Linked DNA regions of Anolis sagrei. The protein of the gene in region 2 purifies or fractionates together with the protein of the main gene of each other region. This does not show direct contact. Links are inferred from orthologs where the notes say so. Each region holds a gene or a part of one and is shown on either strand. Other genes may lie near its edges.

What was found.
Region 1: the proteins of RPTOR (region 2) and MLST8 purify together in Homo sapiens (affinity purification with western blotting; 15 studies listed by BioGRID and IntAct, with this or other methods). This does not show direct contact. The link is inferred for Anolis sagrei from reciprocal best matches to the Homo sapiens genes RPTOR and MLST8.

The regions. Positions count from the first base shown.
Region 1 is NC_090034.1:21,488,206-21,498,373, reverse strand, and holds the start of MLST8 (target of rapamycin complex subunit LST8), read right to left. Parts: upstream 3,883-10,168; 5' UTR 3,790-3,882; intron 3,322-3,789; exon of another isoform or gene 3,240-3,321; intron 2,193-3,239; 5' UTR 2,182-2,192; coding exon 2,053-2,181; intron 1,940-2,052; coding exon 1,888-1,939; intron 1,171-1,887; coding exon 1,008-1,170; intron 623-1,007; coding exon 547-622; intron 445-546; coding exon 292-444; intron 187-291; coding exon 62-186; intron 1-61.
Region 2 is NC_090022.1:130,446,594-130,455,996, reverse strand, and holds the start of RPTOR (regulatory-associated protein of mTOR), read right to left. Parts: upstream 4,505-9,403; 5' UTR 3,211-4,504; coding exon 3,049-3,210; intron 1-3,048. UniProt on the Homo sapiens protein: Component of the mechanistic target of rapamycin complex 1 (mTORC1), an evolutionarily conserved central nutrient sensor that stimulates anabolic reactions and macromolecule biosynthesis to promote cellular biomass generation and growth.

The DNA.
Region 1 (10,168 bases), on a different chromosome or scaffold from region 2:
CAGGTTATTCCAAGGGCAAGTGGATGGACAAAATAAAAGCTCTGCTAATGCTGCTACTCACGTGGAATCTGGACTGAATTTGCACTGGAGGGCATAGCGGTTGTGGGCAGGGATCTTGGTTTTGGGAATGAGCTGTGTCACCTCGTCTCCGATGCCACCAGTCAGGTTCCAGACATAACAGTTGCCCTGCAAGATACAAGGAACACAGAACCTAAGGGGTCCAGTTTACAATATACACTGAAGATCAAACAAACGGGCAAGTGGGATAATAAAGTCCCTCTTTGCACTGACCGAACTATTGACAGCGGCCATGTAGCTGGCGTCAGGGTCAATGTGGACGGAATTGACTGAGACCTCAGGTTCTGGGATGAGCTGCTCGTTGTGGTCTGTCTTCAGGTCCCAGATGTGGATGGCCCCACTCTGGTCCCCGACAATGAGCTCTGCCTGAGAGACACACAAATGGCATCAGTAGAAAAGGAAAAGGAGGAGGTGTGAAAGGAAGGAAGAAAGGGCCTCATTCTCCACCACTCTGGAACAAATAAATACCTGATTAGGATGCAGGCAAACACAGTTGATAGGTGCGTTCACCTGGAAGATGCGCTGGCACTGCAGGTTGCGTGACCTGGAAAGCAGAAATCGATTCCAGACGGGTGAAGGTCAACAATCCAATGGATATATTATACCCAGATATAATATACATTATAATGTGTGAAGGCAGAGGAATGCAGCACATTTGCAGAAGTGTGCCCTCTTGGGTCCACACCGTGGATCTAAAAAAGCATTGGTGAATTGCATTCCATGCTCTGTGCCTATTTCACATTTAATAACGTTCTGCACTTGGAGAATTCTGGTATCTGTAGTCTGATGAGGCACTAGAGCTCTCTGGGGGAGAATTCTAGCTGCCCCTCCTGAACTGGATATCCTAGGGTCCTGTTGCCATGCTAAGTGGGATGACAGTGTTGTGCAAAAGCCCCATCAGGGTTAAGGAGAGGAAAGAGGCCACAAACCGGAGGTCCCAGATACGGGCCATGCAGTCTTCTCCCCCAGTGTACATCCAGCGCCCATCTTCATGGAAACCCACTGAGGTGATGTTCTTGCTGACTCCGTCGTAGTTGATGACGGGGTTCGGGTTGTTGGAGTTCAAGTCATACATCCGGATGTGCTGGTAGCCTGCAGAAGAGACACCATCTCAGCTCCCAAAGGCCTGGAAGTTATTTATTAATGCCAGCATCACAAATAAGAGGGTTCAGGTGCAATTCTACTTCTCAGAGAGAGGCAGCCATTCTCAAAAACACATAATTATTGACCCAGGGTGCATCTGTAGAATGAATGCAGCCTGACACTGCTTTAACTACAAGGGCTCAATGCTAATGAATTCTGCAGATGTATGTTTATAAAGTCTTTCATCTTCTCTGCCAAAAAGTTCAAAATTACAACTCTATATTTTTGAGCCATGGCAGTTAAAGCAATGTCAAACTGCATTCGTTCTACAGTGTAGAATGATGCACTTGAAGTGGGTCAAGAATGGTTCAATCTCTATAACGTGGACTTCTAGCACTACAAGGAAAGAAAGTAAAACATCAAGAAACATTGCCTCTTTGACAAAAGATTTTAAGAATAAAACTATACGGCTAGAGTGGACTCGGTGTTCATCTACACTTTGAAGGTAATACAGTTTGGCACTATTTTAACTGTCCTGGCTTGAAGCTGTGAAATCAGTCAGGCACCTGTGCTTTTTGACAGAGAAGCTCAAAAAGTAGCACTGAGCCACTGGGGTTAAGAGTGGTGTCAAACTGTGTTCATTCCACAGTGTAGATGCTCCCTTGAAAGCATGTAATAAGCACACAAACTATGCTACACCATGCTGTCTGCAGATGGCATCCTTACCGGCTGCAGCTATCATGGTCCGGTCCGGGGTGATCTCCAGAGCATTGACCTGCTGGCAAAAGGGGTTAAGGGGCAAACAGAAGGCAACCCCATCCAGCCCTCCAAAAAACCCCTAGGAAGGTTGTAAACCCCAGCATTCTGCCTTCCCATGCAGCCAAAGGATACAGAGTCCTGGTGCTGGACGGTCCGGGTGCAGATCCCGCTGTGGGCCTGCCAGAAGCGGACAGTATGGTCATAGCCAGCGGTGGCCAGGATGACTGGGTCGCTGCCCACGGTGCCCTGTGCGGTGTTCATGCCTCTGTGGCCTGAGGAAACATCCACACAAAGGTCTTTCTTACTGGACTCCAGTTTTCATCTTCTTTATGGTTCTTTCTTTCCTTCCTCTCTGTTTCCTTCCTACACCTTCTCCTTCCTTTCTTTTTTCCCTTCCTTCCTTTTTTCCTTCTTTTTTTCCCCTCCCCCTTCCTTTCTTCTTTCTATGCTTTCCCTCATACACCTTCTCTGCTCTTTTCTTTTTTCCTTCTTTCCTCTCTCCCTCTTCCTTCATTCCTTTTTTCTCTTCCTTCCTTCCATCCTTCTTTCCTTCCTCTCTCCCTCTTCCTTCCTTTTTCTCTCCCCTTTCCTTCTCCCCTTGCTTTCCCTTATACCTTCCCTGCTTTTTCCTTCCTTCCTTCCTTCTTTCCCACTTCTTTCCAGCCTTTCGACCTTCTCTTCTCCTTCTCTCCCCCTCCCTCTCTCCCTTCCTCTTCTGTCTCCCATTTCCTTCCTTCTTTCCCTTTTCTCCCTTTCTTCCTTCTTCCCTCATGCAACCTCCCTGCTTCTTCCTTCCATCCTTCCTTCTTCTTCTCCCAAATCCTTTTTTCCAACCTTTCATCCTTCCTTCCTCTCTTCCCTTCCTTCCTTCCACCCATCCGTCCGTCCTTCCTTCCTTCCTCTTCCTTTTTCTCTCCCTTGCCCTTCTTTCCCTTTTCTCCCTTCCTTCCTTCCCTTGCTTTCCCTCATAGACCTGCCCTTCCTTCTATCCCTCCTTCTCTCCCCCTTCCTTTTTTCCAGCCTTTCACCCTTCTTTCCTTCCTTCCTTCCTTTCTCCCTTCCTTCCTTTCCCATCCTTTCCTCTACCCTCACTTTCTGCCATTAAAACAAATGCATATAAAATAGTACAATACATTAAAAACTACTCAATGAAGTGACGTACATGCATAGAAGCATAGAACCTTTCCGTTTAATAAGGCTTTTAACTGAAGTATGGGAGGATATTAGGGATTTTAATGTTGGTACATAGGGAAGCAAACACGGGGGAGGCTATTGCTTTTACCTTATTTTATGTATCGATGTTTTTATTATGGTTTTACCTTTTTATGATGAATGTTATATGTTGGTATGCTGTAAGCCACCTTGAGTCCCAGTTGCGGAGAAAGGTGGGGTAGAAATACCCTAAATAAATAAATAAAAATAAAAATTGGCCCTTTCCATCATTAAAGCAAATGGACATAAACATATTAAAAAGGCATTAAAAACTACTCAATGAAGCAATGTACATGCATTGAAATAATAAACAATTAAGGACCTTCTGACATTACAGCAAAGAGAAATTAAAATAATAAAATGCATTTTAAAACTCTCGCAAATGGGGATCATTTTGGAGTATTTGGGAAAAAGGAATGCACAGTCTGCATCATTATGATTACTGTTGTTGTTGTTGTTGTTGTAGGGTCTCTGAGTTTAGAGGCCCTTAAGCTGGGAGATCCAAGCTTCTGGTCCTCATTGAGCCTCTTATTCCCATCTTGCAGGGCTCATTGTCAGCATAAATTAGGGCAGAAAATGGACAACCTTGAGCTCAGAAATTACACAAACGTAAGTATAAGAAATATAAATATTTTGGGTGGGGGAATTGCTACTTACCTTCGGAATTAAAGGAAGGACTACTGGGCAGACAGGCAGACTAGGAACAAGACAGCCACGGCGCATGCGCACACGAGCATCCATTGGGCACCTAGTGCGCATGTGAAACGAGGAAACCAGTCCGCATGCGCAGAAGAGACCCTAGAACACATGGGAAAGTGTTCCTAGTTCTATGGCCGCCCCATAGGGAAGCAGCGACACCTGTCGGCAGAGAGTGGGAAAGCCAGAGCAGGGCCCAACTCGGACATGCGCAGTAGCGTCTGTCAGGGAAGCTCACCCAAGCCTCCAGTCCCTGGATGATGATGTTTTTGATATAGAAAATGATGATTTATGATAATGCATAAATCATAAATCCTGTCTGGCTTCCAATATAGGGACTTCAGACAGCAAACAATAAGACAAATTAATAGGAGTATGCATATATACATAGTAAATATACAATGTGTGTGTATATATATATGTATATATTTATATACTTCTGTTAATGCATTGCACCACCACACATGCATATATATGCAATGCATTAAGAGAGGTATACATACAATAATAACATTTTAATGTAATAATACTAATATATATAATAATAATGTTGTAATATATATAATATATACGACAACTTATAATAGTACAATATATGTTATGATACCAATAATATAATATACTAATAGTGTATTATATATAATAATAATAATATAGTACTTTATAATTATATATAATAATTGTATATTATATATTACATGTAATATTATTAATATAGTAATGTATAATACTAATATTGTGCTATGCTAATATAATGCATATACATGTAATATTGATAATGATGTTATAATGTAATTCAATATAATACTATTATTATTATATTGTACTAATAATATTAATAAGTGAAGGAATCTGCTCTTCATAATTCTGAATGAAGCAGAAAAGCTAGAAGAGGCTAATAAAAATAATAATTTATTATATTAGTACTAATAATATTAAGTGGAGAGATCTTCTCTTTCCCACATAACATTATTAATAATGTAATATATTAATAATCTAGTAACAATAATAATAATAGTAATAATAATATCTGGAAGGATCATCTTTGCCCAGCCCTGGATGGGACAGATGGCTAGAAGGGGGTAATTCATAACAACAACAACAACAACAACAACAATAACAGCAACAATGTTTTGTGTTTGCCTTGTTTATTTTATTGTTATTGAGTTATTTTTGACATTGTGTTGTCGAAGGCTTTCATGGCCAGAATCACTGGGTTGCTGTGAGTTTTCTGGGCTGTATGGCCATATTCCAGAAGCATTCTCTCCTGACGTTACCCATATCTATGGCAGGCATCCTCAGAGGTTGTGAGGTCTGTTGTAAACTAGGCAATTCGGGTTTATATATCTATGAAATAATGTACAGGGTAGGAGAAATAACTCTTCTCTGTTTGAGGCTGTTTTTGACAGTGTGTTTATTATTGTTTGTTTCTTTTTTTTTGTAAGCTGCTCTGAGTCTCATCAGGGGAGGGAGCGGGATATAAAAAAAGCAATAATAATAATAATATACTAAATAATTATTTAATATACTAAATAATTTAATATACTAAATAATGTGGGGAAAGTGGAAAGTAAAAGGAAGAGGGGCCGACCAAGGGCAAGATGGATGGATGGCATCCTTGAAGTGACTGGACTGACCTTGAAGGAGCTGGGGGTGGTGACGGCCGACAGGGAGCTCTGGCGTGGGCTGGTCCATGAGGTCACGAAGAGTCGGAGACGACTGAACGAATGAACAACAAACTAAATAATAGATTAAAATAATAATATCGCAATATAATAATAGAATAATAATAATAGAATAATAATAACCCATGTGCCAGCAGGACTGAAGACCGACAGGTTGGAGGTTCAAATCTGAAGAGAGCACAGATGAGCTCCCTCTGTCAGCTCCAGCTGCCCATGCAGGGACATGAAATACGCTTCCCACAAGAATGGTAAAACATCTAAACATCCAGGCGTCCCCTGGGCAACACCCTTGCAGATAGCCAATTCTCTCACACTGTTTCTCAAGTCGCCCCTGACTTGACATTAATAACAGTAATGTATTGTCAAAGGCTTTCATGGCTGGAATCACTGGATTTTTGAAGTTTTTTCGGGCTGTATGGCCATGTTCAAGAAGCATTCTCTCCTGACGTTTCGCCTGCATCTATGGCAGGCATCCTCAGAGGTTGTGAGGTCTGTTGGAAACTAGGAAAATTGGGTTTATATATCTCTGGAAAGTCCAGGGTATATATTATTGATCATGTTGTTGTTCATTCGTTCAGTCGTCTCCGACTCTTCGTGACCTCATGGACCAGCCTACGCCAGAGCTCCCTGTCGGCCGTTACCACCCCCAGCTCCCTCAAGGTCAGTCCAGTCACTTCAAGGATGCCATCCATCCATCTTGCCCTTGGTCGGCCCCTCTTCCTTTTGCCTTCCACTTTCCCCAGCATAATTGTCTTCTCTAGGCTTTCCTGTCTCCTCATGATGTGGCCAAAGTACTTCAACTTTGTCTCTAGTATCTTTCCCTCCAGTGAGCAGTCGGGCTTTATTTCCTGGAGGATGGACTGGTTGGATCTTCTCGCAGTCCAAGGCACTCTCAGCACTTTCCTCCAACACCACAGCTCAAAAGCATCGATCTTCCTTCGCTCAGCCTTCCCTAAGGTCCAGCTCTCACATCCGTAGGTGACTACAGGGAATACCATGGCTTTGACTAGGCGGATCTTTGTTGCCAGTCTGATGTCTCTACTCTTTACTATTTTATCGAGACTGGACATTGCTCTCCTCCCAAGAAGTAAGCGTCTTCTGATTTCCTGGCCACAGTCTGCATCTGCAGTAATCTTTGCACCTAGAAATACAAAGTCTGTCACGGCCTCCACGGTTTCTCCCTCTATTTTCCAGTTGTCAATCATTCTTGTTGCCATAATCTTGGTTTTTTTGACGTTTAGCTGCAACCCGGCTTTTGCGCTTTCTTCTTTCACCTTGATTAGAAGGCTCCTCAGCTCCTCCTCGCTTTCGGCCATCAGAGTGGTGTCATCTGCATATCTGAGGTTGTTAATGTTTCTTCCAGCAATTTTCACCCCAGCTTTGCATTCATCCAGCCCCGCACATCGCATGATGTGTTCTGCATACAAGTTAAAAAGGTTGGGTGAGAGTATGCAGCCTTGCCGGACGCCTTTCCCAATCTTGAACCAGTCTGTTGTTCCGTGGTCAGTTCTGACTGTTGCTACTTGGTCCTTGTACAGATTCCTCAGGAGAGAGACAAGGTGGCTTGGTATACCCATCCCACCAAGAACTTGCCACAATTTATTATGATCCACACAGTCAAAGGCTTTAGAATAGTCAATGAAGCAGAAGTAGATGTTTTTCTGAAACTCCCTGCCTTTCTCCATTATCCAGCGGATATTGGCAATCTGGTCTCTCGTTCCTCTGCCTTTTCTAAACCCAGCTTGAACATCTGGCAACTCTCGCTCCATGTATTGCTGGAGTCTTCCTTGCAGGATCTTGAGCATTACCTTACTGGCATGAGAAATAAGGGCCACTGTACGGAAGTTTGAGCAGTCTTTCGCATTTCCCTTTTTTGGTATGGGGATATAAGTTGATTTTTTCCAGTCTGATGGCCATTCTTGTGTTTTCCATATTTGCTGGCAAATGGCATGCATCACCTTGACAGCATCATCTTTTAAGATTTTAAACAGTTCAGCTGGGATGCCGTCGTCTCCTGCTGCCTTGTTGTTAGCAATGCTTCTTAAGGCCCATTCAACCTCACTCCTCAGGATGTCTGGTTCTAATTCATTCACCACACCGTCAAAGCTATCCTCGATATTGTTATCCTTCCTATACAGATCTTCTGTATAGTCTCGCCACCTTCTCTTGATCTCTTCAGCTTCTGTTAGGTCCCTGCCATCTTTGTTTCTTATCATACCAATTTTTGCCTGAAATTTACCTCCAATGTTTCTAATTTTCTGGAAGAGGTCTCTTGTCCTTCCTATTCTGTTGTCTTCTTCCACTTCCATGCATTGCTTATTTAAAAATAGTTCCTTATCTCTTCTGGCTAACCTCTGGAATTGCGCATTTAACTGGGCATATCTCCCCTTATCCCTGTTTCCTTTTGCTTTCCTCCTTTCTTGGGCTACTTCCAGTGTCTCAGCAGACAACCATTTTGCCTTCTTGGTTTTCTTTTTCTTTGGAACGTACTTTGTTGCCGCCTCCTGAACAATGTCTCGGACTTCTGTCCATAGTTCTTCTGGGACTCTGTTTACTAAATCTAGTCCTTCAAATCTGTTCTTCACTTCCACTGTATATTCGCTAGGAATGTTAGTGAGATCATATCTAACTGGTCTGTGTATTTTCCCTGATCTCTTTAGTTTTATTCTAAATTGGGCAATAAGAAGTTCGTGATCTGAGCTACAGTCAGCCCCAGGTCTTGTTTTCACCGACTGGATGGATGTCCGCCACCTTTGGCTGCAAAGGATGTAGTCAATCTGATTTTGGTGTTGACCATCTGGTGAGGTCCATGTATAAAGTCGTCTTTTAGGTTGTTGGAAGAGAGTATTCGTTATACACAGCGAGTTTTCCTGGCAGAATTCTATCAGCCTGCGTCCCGCTTCATTTTGTTCTCCCAGACCATGCTTGCCTGTGATCCCAGTTGTCATTTGACTTCCCACCTTGGCATTCCAGTCTCCTGTAATGAAAATAATGTCTCTTTTTGGTGTATTATCCAGTAGGTCCTGCAGATCCTCATAGAACTGATCTACTTCTGCTTCTTCAGCAGCTGTGGTTGGGGCGTATATTTGGATCACTGTGATGTTGAAAGGCTTTCCTTGCACTCGAATTGAGATCATTCTGATTATTGATCATAATAATAATTAATTATATAGTAAATAACTAGCGGTCCCCTGCCATTCGTTGCTGTGGCCCAGTCTGGTGATCTGGAAAATAAAGTAATGAGAAAGTGTTGGTTTCTAATATATGTAATGTCTTGATGCTTGTGGGTAAACAGTATTTCTTGTTCTTTCTTTGTCAGTGTTGATGTGGAGATTGTCTGTTTTACTTACTCTGGAAGATGCAACATATCATTGTCCTTCTTTAGGGGTCCCTTTCAAATCTATGATACTCTATTTGTCATATACATGTGTGTGCGTGAATGGCTGGATGGCCCTTTGTCAGGAGGGCTTTGATTATGTTTTCTGGCCCTGATGAAGGGAGTTGGACTGGATGGCCTTAGACAGCATTTCTCAACCTGGGAAGTCAAGACCCGGGGGGGGGGGGGTGTCAGAACGGTCACCAAAGACCGCACAGAGTTTTCTGTTGATAATGGGGGTTCTGTGTGTGATGTTTGGCCCAATTCCATCATTGGTGGGGTTCAGAATGCTCTTTGATTATAGGTGAACTATACATCCTAGTAACTACAACTCCCAAATGTCAAGGTCTATTTCCCCCAAAATCCCTCTGTGTCCACATTTGGGCATATTGAGTATTCCTGTCAAGTTTGGTCCAGATCCATCATTGTGTGAGTCCACAGTGTTCTCTGGATGGAGGTATACTACAATTCCAGAATTCAAGGTCAATGCCCACCAAACCCTTTCAGTATTTTCTGGTGGTCATGGGAGGCCTGTGTGCCAAGTTTGGTTCAATTCCATTGTTAGTGGAGTTCAGAATGCTCTTTGATTATAGGTGAACTATAAATCCCAGCAACTACAACTCCCAAATGACAAAATCATAATTTTTTGAGTGTGTAGTGAGACATTTTGTTGCCAAATTTGGTGTGATTTTGTTCATTGGTTCTTTTGTTTTTGAGGTACTCATTATGCACAGAGCATTTTTTTTTATATTTTTATATAGAGAGATATACAAAAATAATATTACAATATAATGACTAATAATAGCTAATAATAATAATAACATTGATGATTGATGATGATAATAATAATATAGTAAACAATATACTAAAATAACAATATCACAATATAATGACTAATAATATCTAATAATAACATTAATAATTGATCATAATAATCATATAAATAATATACTAAAGTAATAACAATAATATTGCAATATAATATTAATAGACTAATAATTGCTGATAATAACAAATATTAAATTGATGATATAATAATAATCTATATATATAAAAATGCTCTGTGCATAATGAGTACTTTAAAAACAAAAGGACCAATGAACAAAATCACACCAAATTTGGCAACAAAACGTCTCACAACACAAGGAGTGACCATCACTCAAAAAATTATGATTTTGTCATTTGGGAGTTGTAGTTGCTGGGATTTATAGTTCACCTATAATCAAAGAGCATTCTGAACCCCACCAATGATGGAATTGAACCAAACTTGGCACACAGT
Region 2 (9,403 bases):
CTCAATATATGCAGCCCTTAAAAAAAAACTAAAGAATTGTATAACTAACTTTGTTCAGTTTTGAATCAACTTTTGTTAATTATGCAGTCACTACTTTTGTGACAAAAGCTTTCTTTGTTTTACAATATCTTTTTATCTTGATCAAGTAAACTAATCACTGGATCTAGTAAATAGGTCTTCTGTGTAAATATGGTTTTTATTCTGGAAGGCGCTGTTATTCAGTATACTAATACAAAGTTCCCAAGAGTGTAGCGTTAACAGGCTTAAGAACTTTGACTCTCCAGTAAAAGGTGTGAAATAAACTCCAATTAAAGGCTGCACTTGCTGCTGCGTTAAATAAAGATTAGCTTCAGTGTAGGGTTTATTTAAAGTAAGATAGCACATATTTCCTTCACTCATTGACAAAAAAGGCACTTATGAATGATCTGAAATAATCTGTTTCCTTCGTCTGAGCCCTCCATGGAAACCAAAACAAGTTCTGGGCTGAATTCTAGTAGTCCTTGCTGAAATTAATTCCAGAAGAGAGAAACAAGACAGATTGTCTTGTTTTGTTATTAGGATGAAAAATTAAGTATTTATCGTAATTTAAAATCTATATGAAAGAGACACAAAAAAGCTTAACTAATGCAGTTTTGACACTTGTTTCTGTACTTAATATATTGTGTACCTCTTTTTATTCCTGCTTCACTTACAAAAGTTTTTAAGAAGTATTCCCCACCTCATAAAAATATATAATGAAAACAAGTCGCAGAAAATAATCCCAAACAACCCTTGGTTAGCATAGAAGATCAACATAAAAATTCACTACGTTGCAAACATAGAAATACTCAACAATAAGCAGATGATCAAAGTTTCCAAAATGTGCAGGAGATGGATTTTCAAAAAAAAAAAAAACAACTACAGATTTTGCAGTTTTTCATATCAAAGCATTGTAGACAATAAAAATGTTAACAGGTATTGGGACTGTGTATATAAAATACATTGTCTATTTTTTTCCTATTCTTTAGAAAAACATTAATGCAGGGGTCCTCAAACTAAGGCCCGGGGGCCGAATATGGCCCTCCAAGGTAATTTACCCGGCCCTCACTCAGGGTCAACCAAAGTCTGAAACTACTTGAAAGCACACAACAATAACAACAATCCTATCTCATCAGCCAAAAGCAGGACCACACTTCCCACTGAAATACTAGTAAGTTTATATTTGTTTAAATTGTTCTTTATTTTAATTATTGTATTGTTTTAAAGTTTTTGCATTACAAATAAGATAAGTGCAATTACTCATAGGAATTCATTCATTTTTTTCAAATTATAATCCGGCCCTCCAACAGTTTGAAGGACTGTTTCTAGCCCTCTGTTTAAAAAGTTTGAAGACCCCTGCATTAATGTATCTCCCGGGCTCAAAAACTTCCTGCTCCCCTTTTCTCTTCTTGCAGAGCCCTGAAGGCGTTTAAACACTTTCACTTTCAGTCAGCGATGGCTTGCAATGTTATCAAGAGCTGGACTGAAATGAATATTCGCCATGCTTAATATAAGAATTTATTTCAAAAAACAGTATTTGGTCAGCTTTTTAGAATCTAATCATCATTAACATTTGGGGCACAACTCATTCCAAACAAAAAGCTTCTAGAAGCCTTCCTGACTGGAATGAAAGGGGCAAGTAAGAAAGTATGGATGAACTCAGAGAAGGCTAAGCTCCTTTACAATCACATTAAAATGAACTTCGGCATGTTAGCCACAAACATTTGTTTTAAGTTTAGCAATATCTAATTACTGTTTTTAAAATAAAAAAAACAGTTACACTACCATTTATAATATACAATTTTATAAATAACATCTACAATAAACCATTAAACAAAAAGTCATATATCCTGCTTACAGCACTAAGTTGTCTTGGATACTCCCAAAACCCATAAATCCTACTTCTTGTGTTACAGAAAAAGTAGGTTCTGACAGACCACAAGATGCATTCAAGAAGCTTTAGAAGTTCTAAATCACTATTCATTTCCATATTACGACTTCATATGCATAGAAAAGAGATGCCATAGAAAAGCTTCTCCCAGCACTTATACAGTTTCCACAGCAGCTGTACCAGAACAGCACTTTACCACAGTGAATGAGCAAGGAAGAAAATATCTCTTTTTAGCACTGTGAGACTAGTACTGATTTATTTACATACTGATGCTGTGAAACAAACCATGTAATCAGGGTCACAGACAGCTGTATATTCAGACACATTTCAAATGAGGCAACATTCCAAGTTATTTTGGTTAATTTTTTCACTTGCTATAAAGATAAGTTCCATACTGCTGTTAAACATAAACCCTACTTTTGTAAATCAATATAAGGGAATACTTTAGGAGTTGATTTGACTGATAAGTTTTCCCACTAGCTATCTCTCTCAGAAATGTCTTCATTCGCTGATTATCTAAACTTCCTCAAAGGCAACATAATAATTAACAAATAATTCTAGAATGCCTAACAACAGCAATTTGACTGTATAATCTTTCCTGCAAAAAGTTAGCAGGAGAAATAATTGAGTCTGGAACAGAGATTCTATAATTTCTTGTGGATTTCCATTTCTAAAACAACCAGAACAACACCATTGTATAAATAAATTTTGTTGTGTATAATTTTCATAAATGTTGTCACTCTCATTTTTAGCTTCATTAAAAATGAAATGTCCCATGTGACACATGGTTAAGGAAATAGAACTTTAAATTCACTAATAGAACAAATCTGTACATGACACTTCCACATGAAGCAATCTCCATCCAGATACTTGCCAAGTAAATGTTAAGACCTCATTTTAATTAACTTAGAATTAATTCATTTTCAAAGAAGAAAAAGCAAATTATTTAAACCTAGTGATTTGGTGCCGTGTTAGCATGCAGTGTTGGCTACATTTATTGAGTGTTCAACACAAAATAAATTAATAGAATTCAACCAGGAATGTACAAGACCTACAGAAAAAGTGTGTAGAATCTAGTTGAACAGAACATGCAAATCTTTTCTTTCTCCCAAACAAAAACTGTAACTAGAGATCATTACCCTGTCTTTCATCCGCCAACTCTGAGCCAGTGATTTGGAGCCTTCAATCTTCTCACAGTGCCGCTTCTTCATGAAGGCCAAAGGCAGATTCCAGTCAGTCATGTCTGATTCATCTTCCTCCCCAAGCCCCAGTAGGGGAGACTGCAACATATCTGACTCCATGAGAGGAGAAAGAACCAAGGGAACCAATGATCAAAAGTCAAGGATCAACAAAGTATGAGCAAAAAAGCTATTAGGAGAGCAAGGGAACCTCTCAACTGCAGTTCCAGGTGACGCTTCAGGGAAAGGTGTCTTGTTCAAATGCTGTTGTTTGTTAAAGTGTGTAGAAATATTCTCTTTTCAGCAGCGGGGGGGGGGGGGGGGGCTTTCCAGTTTGGAAGAAGCAAGCTTGGTGAGTAATGCAATCACGATACAAGAGACAACTATCTTGCAGGAAATGGATGATCACTGTCTAGCTGAAGAATCAAGTCACAGATGTGCATGGAGGTTCTTTCTCCCACTCACTTTCTCAAATAGGGTGTGCAATTGCGAAATGCCTCTCAATCTAAACAAAACATAAAAGTCATTTCAAATCACGAAAACAATGTTCCACAATAGAGACTGCTTAGTTCATCAAGATGGGCCTACAAGTATTTTAGGCAGAAGAATGTGATTCTAGTAAAGAACTCCAACCACTGCAAGGAAGGAACAAAGTATAAAAGCAGGATGACAGCAGGTCAGGAGGAGTGACACTGGGAAATTGTGGCCAAGGGAGGACAGGTGAAGTGAGGATACTCAGCTGCAGAGTCACACCAGAAGCCTCCTTTCAAGTGAAAAGGGGAAGCTGTTGCTGGGAGCGTGTCCCTGTTAAGGGCCCTTTTGTGGGGTGCTCTTAGGGGGATGCTTGCAGAAACGGGTGGTGCTTCTGGGTCCAATGGGAAGGAGGTCCGGGGCGCCACAACCGGAGCGACGATGGGGGAACTGCAGAGACAGGCCCTGGCCAAAGGACGACGAGGAGCGGCAGAGCTGGCAGGGACCGGGGCTGCTTGGCGCCTCTGTGCTCCAGGCCTGGCTCGCTTCTCCTGGCTGAGAAGACCACGCCCACCCTCGACCAGGCCCAGTCCGGTCCAGGCGGCGGCGGGCAAGCTCTCCTTGCCGGGAGGCCTCTCTCTCTGGCGTGGGCCGGCGAGGGGAGCACGCTCCTACCCCCGAGGCGGTGCCTGCTCGCTGCCCGGCCGTTCCTCCTCCTGCTGCTGCTGCTCCTGCGATGGGGGTCCCGTCCGCCGCATCGCCATCCCCGCCGCGGGCAGGTGGCGGCTCCTCTCCCTGGACAAAAGCCCCGGGCTGCCGGGTGAGGAGAACGGGAGGGAAACGTCCCGGAGAGCCAAACTCGCCTCAGCAACTCAACAAGGAGGCAGCCATATTGCCGAGGCCCACAATGCATCACGGCGACGGGCCGCCGGCCGGCTCATGCTGAGTGAGATGCGTTCGGTACGGGCGAGTTCAAGGGAGGGAGGAGCAGCAGCAGCCGCCAGAGGGTTGCCGGGGCAACGCTCCAAGCATTCGCCTGGCCTTTCGGCTCCGGGAGGGAGGGAGGGAGGGAGGGGCTGCCCACTCGCCCACCCCCCCCCCCCCAAGGCCCAGGAAGGGACATGGATCCTCACGGCTGAGAGCTATGATGAGATTCTTATAAATAAGTAAACTTACGGTATCAGGCGGCCTGAGTGTTGGGTCACGGTGCAAGTTTGCTGTAGAATTACTGCGATTTGACACCACTTTAGTTGGTATGGTGTAATGTTATGGTCTCCTGGGAGTTGTAGTTTGCCAATGTCTTCAACCTTCTCTGCAAAGAGTGCTGGTGCCTCACTGTGCTCCAGATCCCATGGTGATGTAGCACTGAGCCATCAAAGACACCAGACCACCACCCCCAATCAGGCATGTAGCCGGGAGGGGGGGGGGCTTGGGGGGCTTCAGCCCCCCCCCCCCGAAATTCTCAGGGTGGTCCGCGAGAAGACCTTACTGGTACATTATTTAAACTGTTATGTTTATTCATATCATGATCTGATCACCATGCTCAATATATCCCATATGTATGGGGGTATTGGGGTAATGATACAAAAGGTTTGCTAGGGTAGGGCCTCTTTCACTCAGACTCACCCCCCCCCCCCCGAATCAAACTCACCCCCCCCCCCCCCCCGAAACAAAATCCTGGCTACAAGCCTGCCCCCAATAAAATATATACACAAATCAAACTCAAGGATTTATAGTTTTATCAAGGATGGAGGACCCACTGGGCTAAAAGCAGTCTCCATCCTCATAGTCATTCTGCAACAATACAGAATGAGGGATGTTTGGCTCGACATGTGAAAAAGATCTTGGAGTCCTCGTGGACAGGAAGGTGAACATGAGACCACAATGTCATGCGGCAGCTTAAAAGGCAATGGGATTTTTGCTTGCATAAATAGGAGTATAGTGTCTAGATCCAGGGAAGTCATGCTCCCCCTCTATTATGCCTTGGTCAGACCACACCTGAAATGTCCAATTCTGGGCACAGCGATTGAAGGGAGATGTTGACAAGCTGGACTGTGTGCAGAGTAGGGCGACTCAAATGATCAAGGGTTTGGAGAACAAGCCCTATGAGGAGTGGCTTAAGGAGCTGGGCATGTTTATTTATTTATTTATTTATTTACAGTATTTATATTCCGCCCTTCTCACCCCACAGGGGACTCAGGGCGGATTACAGTGTACACATATATGGCAAACATTCAATGCCAATTTGACATGCAACATATACAGACATACACAGAGGCTATTTACCTTTTTCTGGCTGCCAGGGGAGCTGTCGCTTTCATCGTCCTTCTGCGACACTGATGAAGTACTTCCGCATTCCTCGCATGCTTTTGCTGGAGTGCTTTGCTGGAGTCTTTTTTAAGGCCTCATAAATTGGTTAATTTAGCCTCCCCACACAAGGTGGTACCTAATTTTCCTACTTGACAGATGCAACTGTCTTTCGGGTTGCAAAGGTCGACAACAGGCTACACAATTGGTTGGAAGCCCACTCCAACCCGGGCTGGCTTCAAACTCATGACCTTTTGGTCAGAGTGCTCTTAATGCAGCTGACAGCCAGCTGTGCCACAATCCCTTCAGTCTTCTCTCAATTTCTTTGTGCTACTGAAACAGAGTCCCACGGAGGCTATCACATGACACCAGGCCACTTCCAATGGTTGCCTGTAGGACTCTTTTGTGACAACACAGAGAAACAGGGGGAAGACTGTAAAATGACAGATAAGAGAGAGAAAAGAATAACGATAAGTAGCATAGATTAGGTACGCTCAATAGTTTATGGTAGAGGAGTAGTACCATTAAAATAATTCTTAACCACCTTTAGTCTCCTTCACCGTAAAGCTGCCAGCATCCCAGTGGCCTTAATCCAGGATATACCTTTTGTTCAAGTAGTACAGGTTGATTAAATTTATCTATTTCTAGATATGTTTAAATTGGCAATTGTAAAACTAAGAGCTCCTCTCAACCTGTTTTCTAAATGGATATATATTATTAAGAATATTGTATCTTGAACCCATTTTTCATAAAAAGCATAATTGTGTGTGTGTGTGTGTGTAACCATCCATTTTCAAGGCACTTTACAAGAAAACACCCCCAAATGGAGGGTTCTGTCAGTGGCTTACAATCTCAAATATGCAAATGTAAAGGGATGACAAGAATCATAAAACTTTACAATCTAATTGTAAAACAAATTATCTGAATAAAATACAAAATATAATATTAAACTAACATGTCACTCAAGCATCAGATTTTCTAAAGCAACAATTTTTTATATCCTTTGTGTTATTTGATACACATCAGTCTTTCTCTGTTAAAACATATAGTTCATGTCAGATAGCGGTAATTTGGGGTATGACCTGTTGAATTATCACATCTGAAGGCATATCATTTCAAATATATGGCACGAGGCCTAAAAGCTTTTAAATGTATTTTTTCACATTGGAAAAAGCTCAGATAACATGCCTTAAAAAGCTTAGAAAATGTAAACGACTTTAAAATAAAGACATAGCTGGCACTTCACTGTGCCTCCAAAAATTGTTGGTTTTATATATGTGTGTATTTATTTAAAACAGTTATACCCCGTCCTTCTCAACCTCCGAAGAGGGACTCAGGATGGCTTTCAACAGGCAACCATTCAGTGCCAACACAATATAAAACATATCATAAAATACAACCATATACATTAAAACGGTTATAAATATACATTAAAAGTGGTTCGCCAAGTTAAATTCGTCATCCAAATGCAAATTAAAAGAAAAACTTATAAATGGGGTTGACTTACATATGAGCTTGACTATACCGTAGTTGATCACTTATGAGTCTATATTTGAGTCTAAACAGTAAATCTAATGTAGGGAAACATTTCCCTTTCATATGTTTTAGCCTTCCATCCACCCCACCCAGCGTCACCAATGGTAATAAACCTTGGGAACTATATGTCAAAAGATTTAGGTGACCAAAGGTTCCCTTACCACTGGCTTGTTTATAGCAATATCTTTCTAAGCTCTGACACTTCAGCCCTGACTTATGACTCAAATTCTGCTTCTTCCTTGACAGGTTTCAGTTCTTTATTTTTATTCCCAAAGGTGTGTTTCAGACTTACAGGTCACCTTAGTTGGCTGCCTACAGGTCAGTTCTCATAAGGCTTCTGTGTGCAGAAGAACTGTTTTGATGAATCAGACCAAGTTTCATCTACTCCAACATTCAAACAATCACCTGCCAGGTGCGCTAGAGGTTCATAAGAAGGGCAGGAAGGCAAAGGTCCCAATCTGTTGTTTATTCAGAGCATCTGGTACTCAGATGTTTACAACTACTGGTCATGGAAGGTTAAGTCTCATGACTTAAAAGTGTTGATCACTGCAACCTCCAATAATCTGTCTAGGCCTTTAAAAACCCATCTAATTTAGCAACCATAACCACAATTTGCAGTAATTACCTTGACAGGTGTGAAATACTTTATTTTGTTTGTCCTGAACTTGATGTCAATAACTTTATTGGATCAGCTTGTGTGAGAGAATACTCACCACCCGCTGCCAACCCCCCCCCCCCCCCCCCGGCATCTTTTTGATGAACCAGAAAGCCCCAAGCTCTTGTGAGTTGTAAGAAGCATTCATGAATATTCTGCCCTGAATCAGCATAACACCAGAAACAACCTTGAAGTAGCTTGAATTGTAGGGCACTGAAGTGGAGTTTGTTTTTGCAATGCAGTATTCAAACTACTAGTTTTATCAGGAGTTCATTTGAATTCTCAGCAATGATCTTCCTTGGGGGGAAAAATCTTGGGGTGTGCCTTCAGGTGATAATGGGGTGAAACAATGAGCATTTTGCTAGGTCATATGTTATTTAATTAACATGGTAATATTAGAATGTCAGAAACTTGCACTGAATGACAAGGCACAAAGAATATATCATATATGTTTTCTTTTGTCTAGTAAACATTTGGTGCCTGAAATGTTAGACCTGTTTCTGGGTATTTTTGACCTGCTACTGTAACCTCCCAAGAAGTGAGAGATTCTGCGTCTGGGGAGAACAAACAGTGGAAGACATTGAACATTTCTTAATTGACTGTCCAGCATACACTGAACTGCAAGACAGATATTTACATCCAATATTATCCAACTGCAGGTCCCCCAACAGAAATGATATTCTGACATCCCTCTTGCAAGGGCAGGAAAGATCCAGCATAATCAGAGTAAGCCTTTTTATTCTGAAAGCTACTAAGAAAAGAGCAGATTTCCTGAAAGAAGAACCAGGAAAATAAGATTCTGACTTATCACCTTGTTGCCTTGTTTGTTACTCATGTTCTATTTTGAAATGGTCATATGACTGATCAAATAAATAAATATTATTATTATTATTACCTGCTGATTCCAAAAATAGCACTGGCTTTTGCCTATCAGCTGTAGTTTTTAAGATACACAACATATGCCATATAAAGTATCTGTCTTCGTCTAGTCAGCCATAGGAAATCATTATAACCATATCTAAGGAACTACAGCTGATGAAATCTTGCCAATGCAATTTTCTAAATCAGCGTCCCAAATAACCCCAGGATCAGGCCTAAAAACCAAGATACCCAAGAGGATTTTTTGTTGGTGTTATCAAACATAATCACCCCTCCCCCCTAAATAAAAAGAGTCATAGTTCAGTCCCCAGTAAGTTATATTTTCCCAAGGATGGAGGGCCAAATTAGTGGCAATGGCCACTATCCCTGCAGCCTCATTCGAGCCTCCTAGGACCACCAGCAACCCTAACTCCATTGCCCCCAAATCCCCACACCTCAGTTCTGCTTTTCAGTCTTAGCTGGAGATCA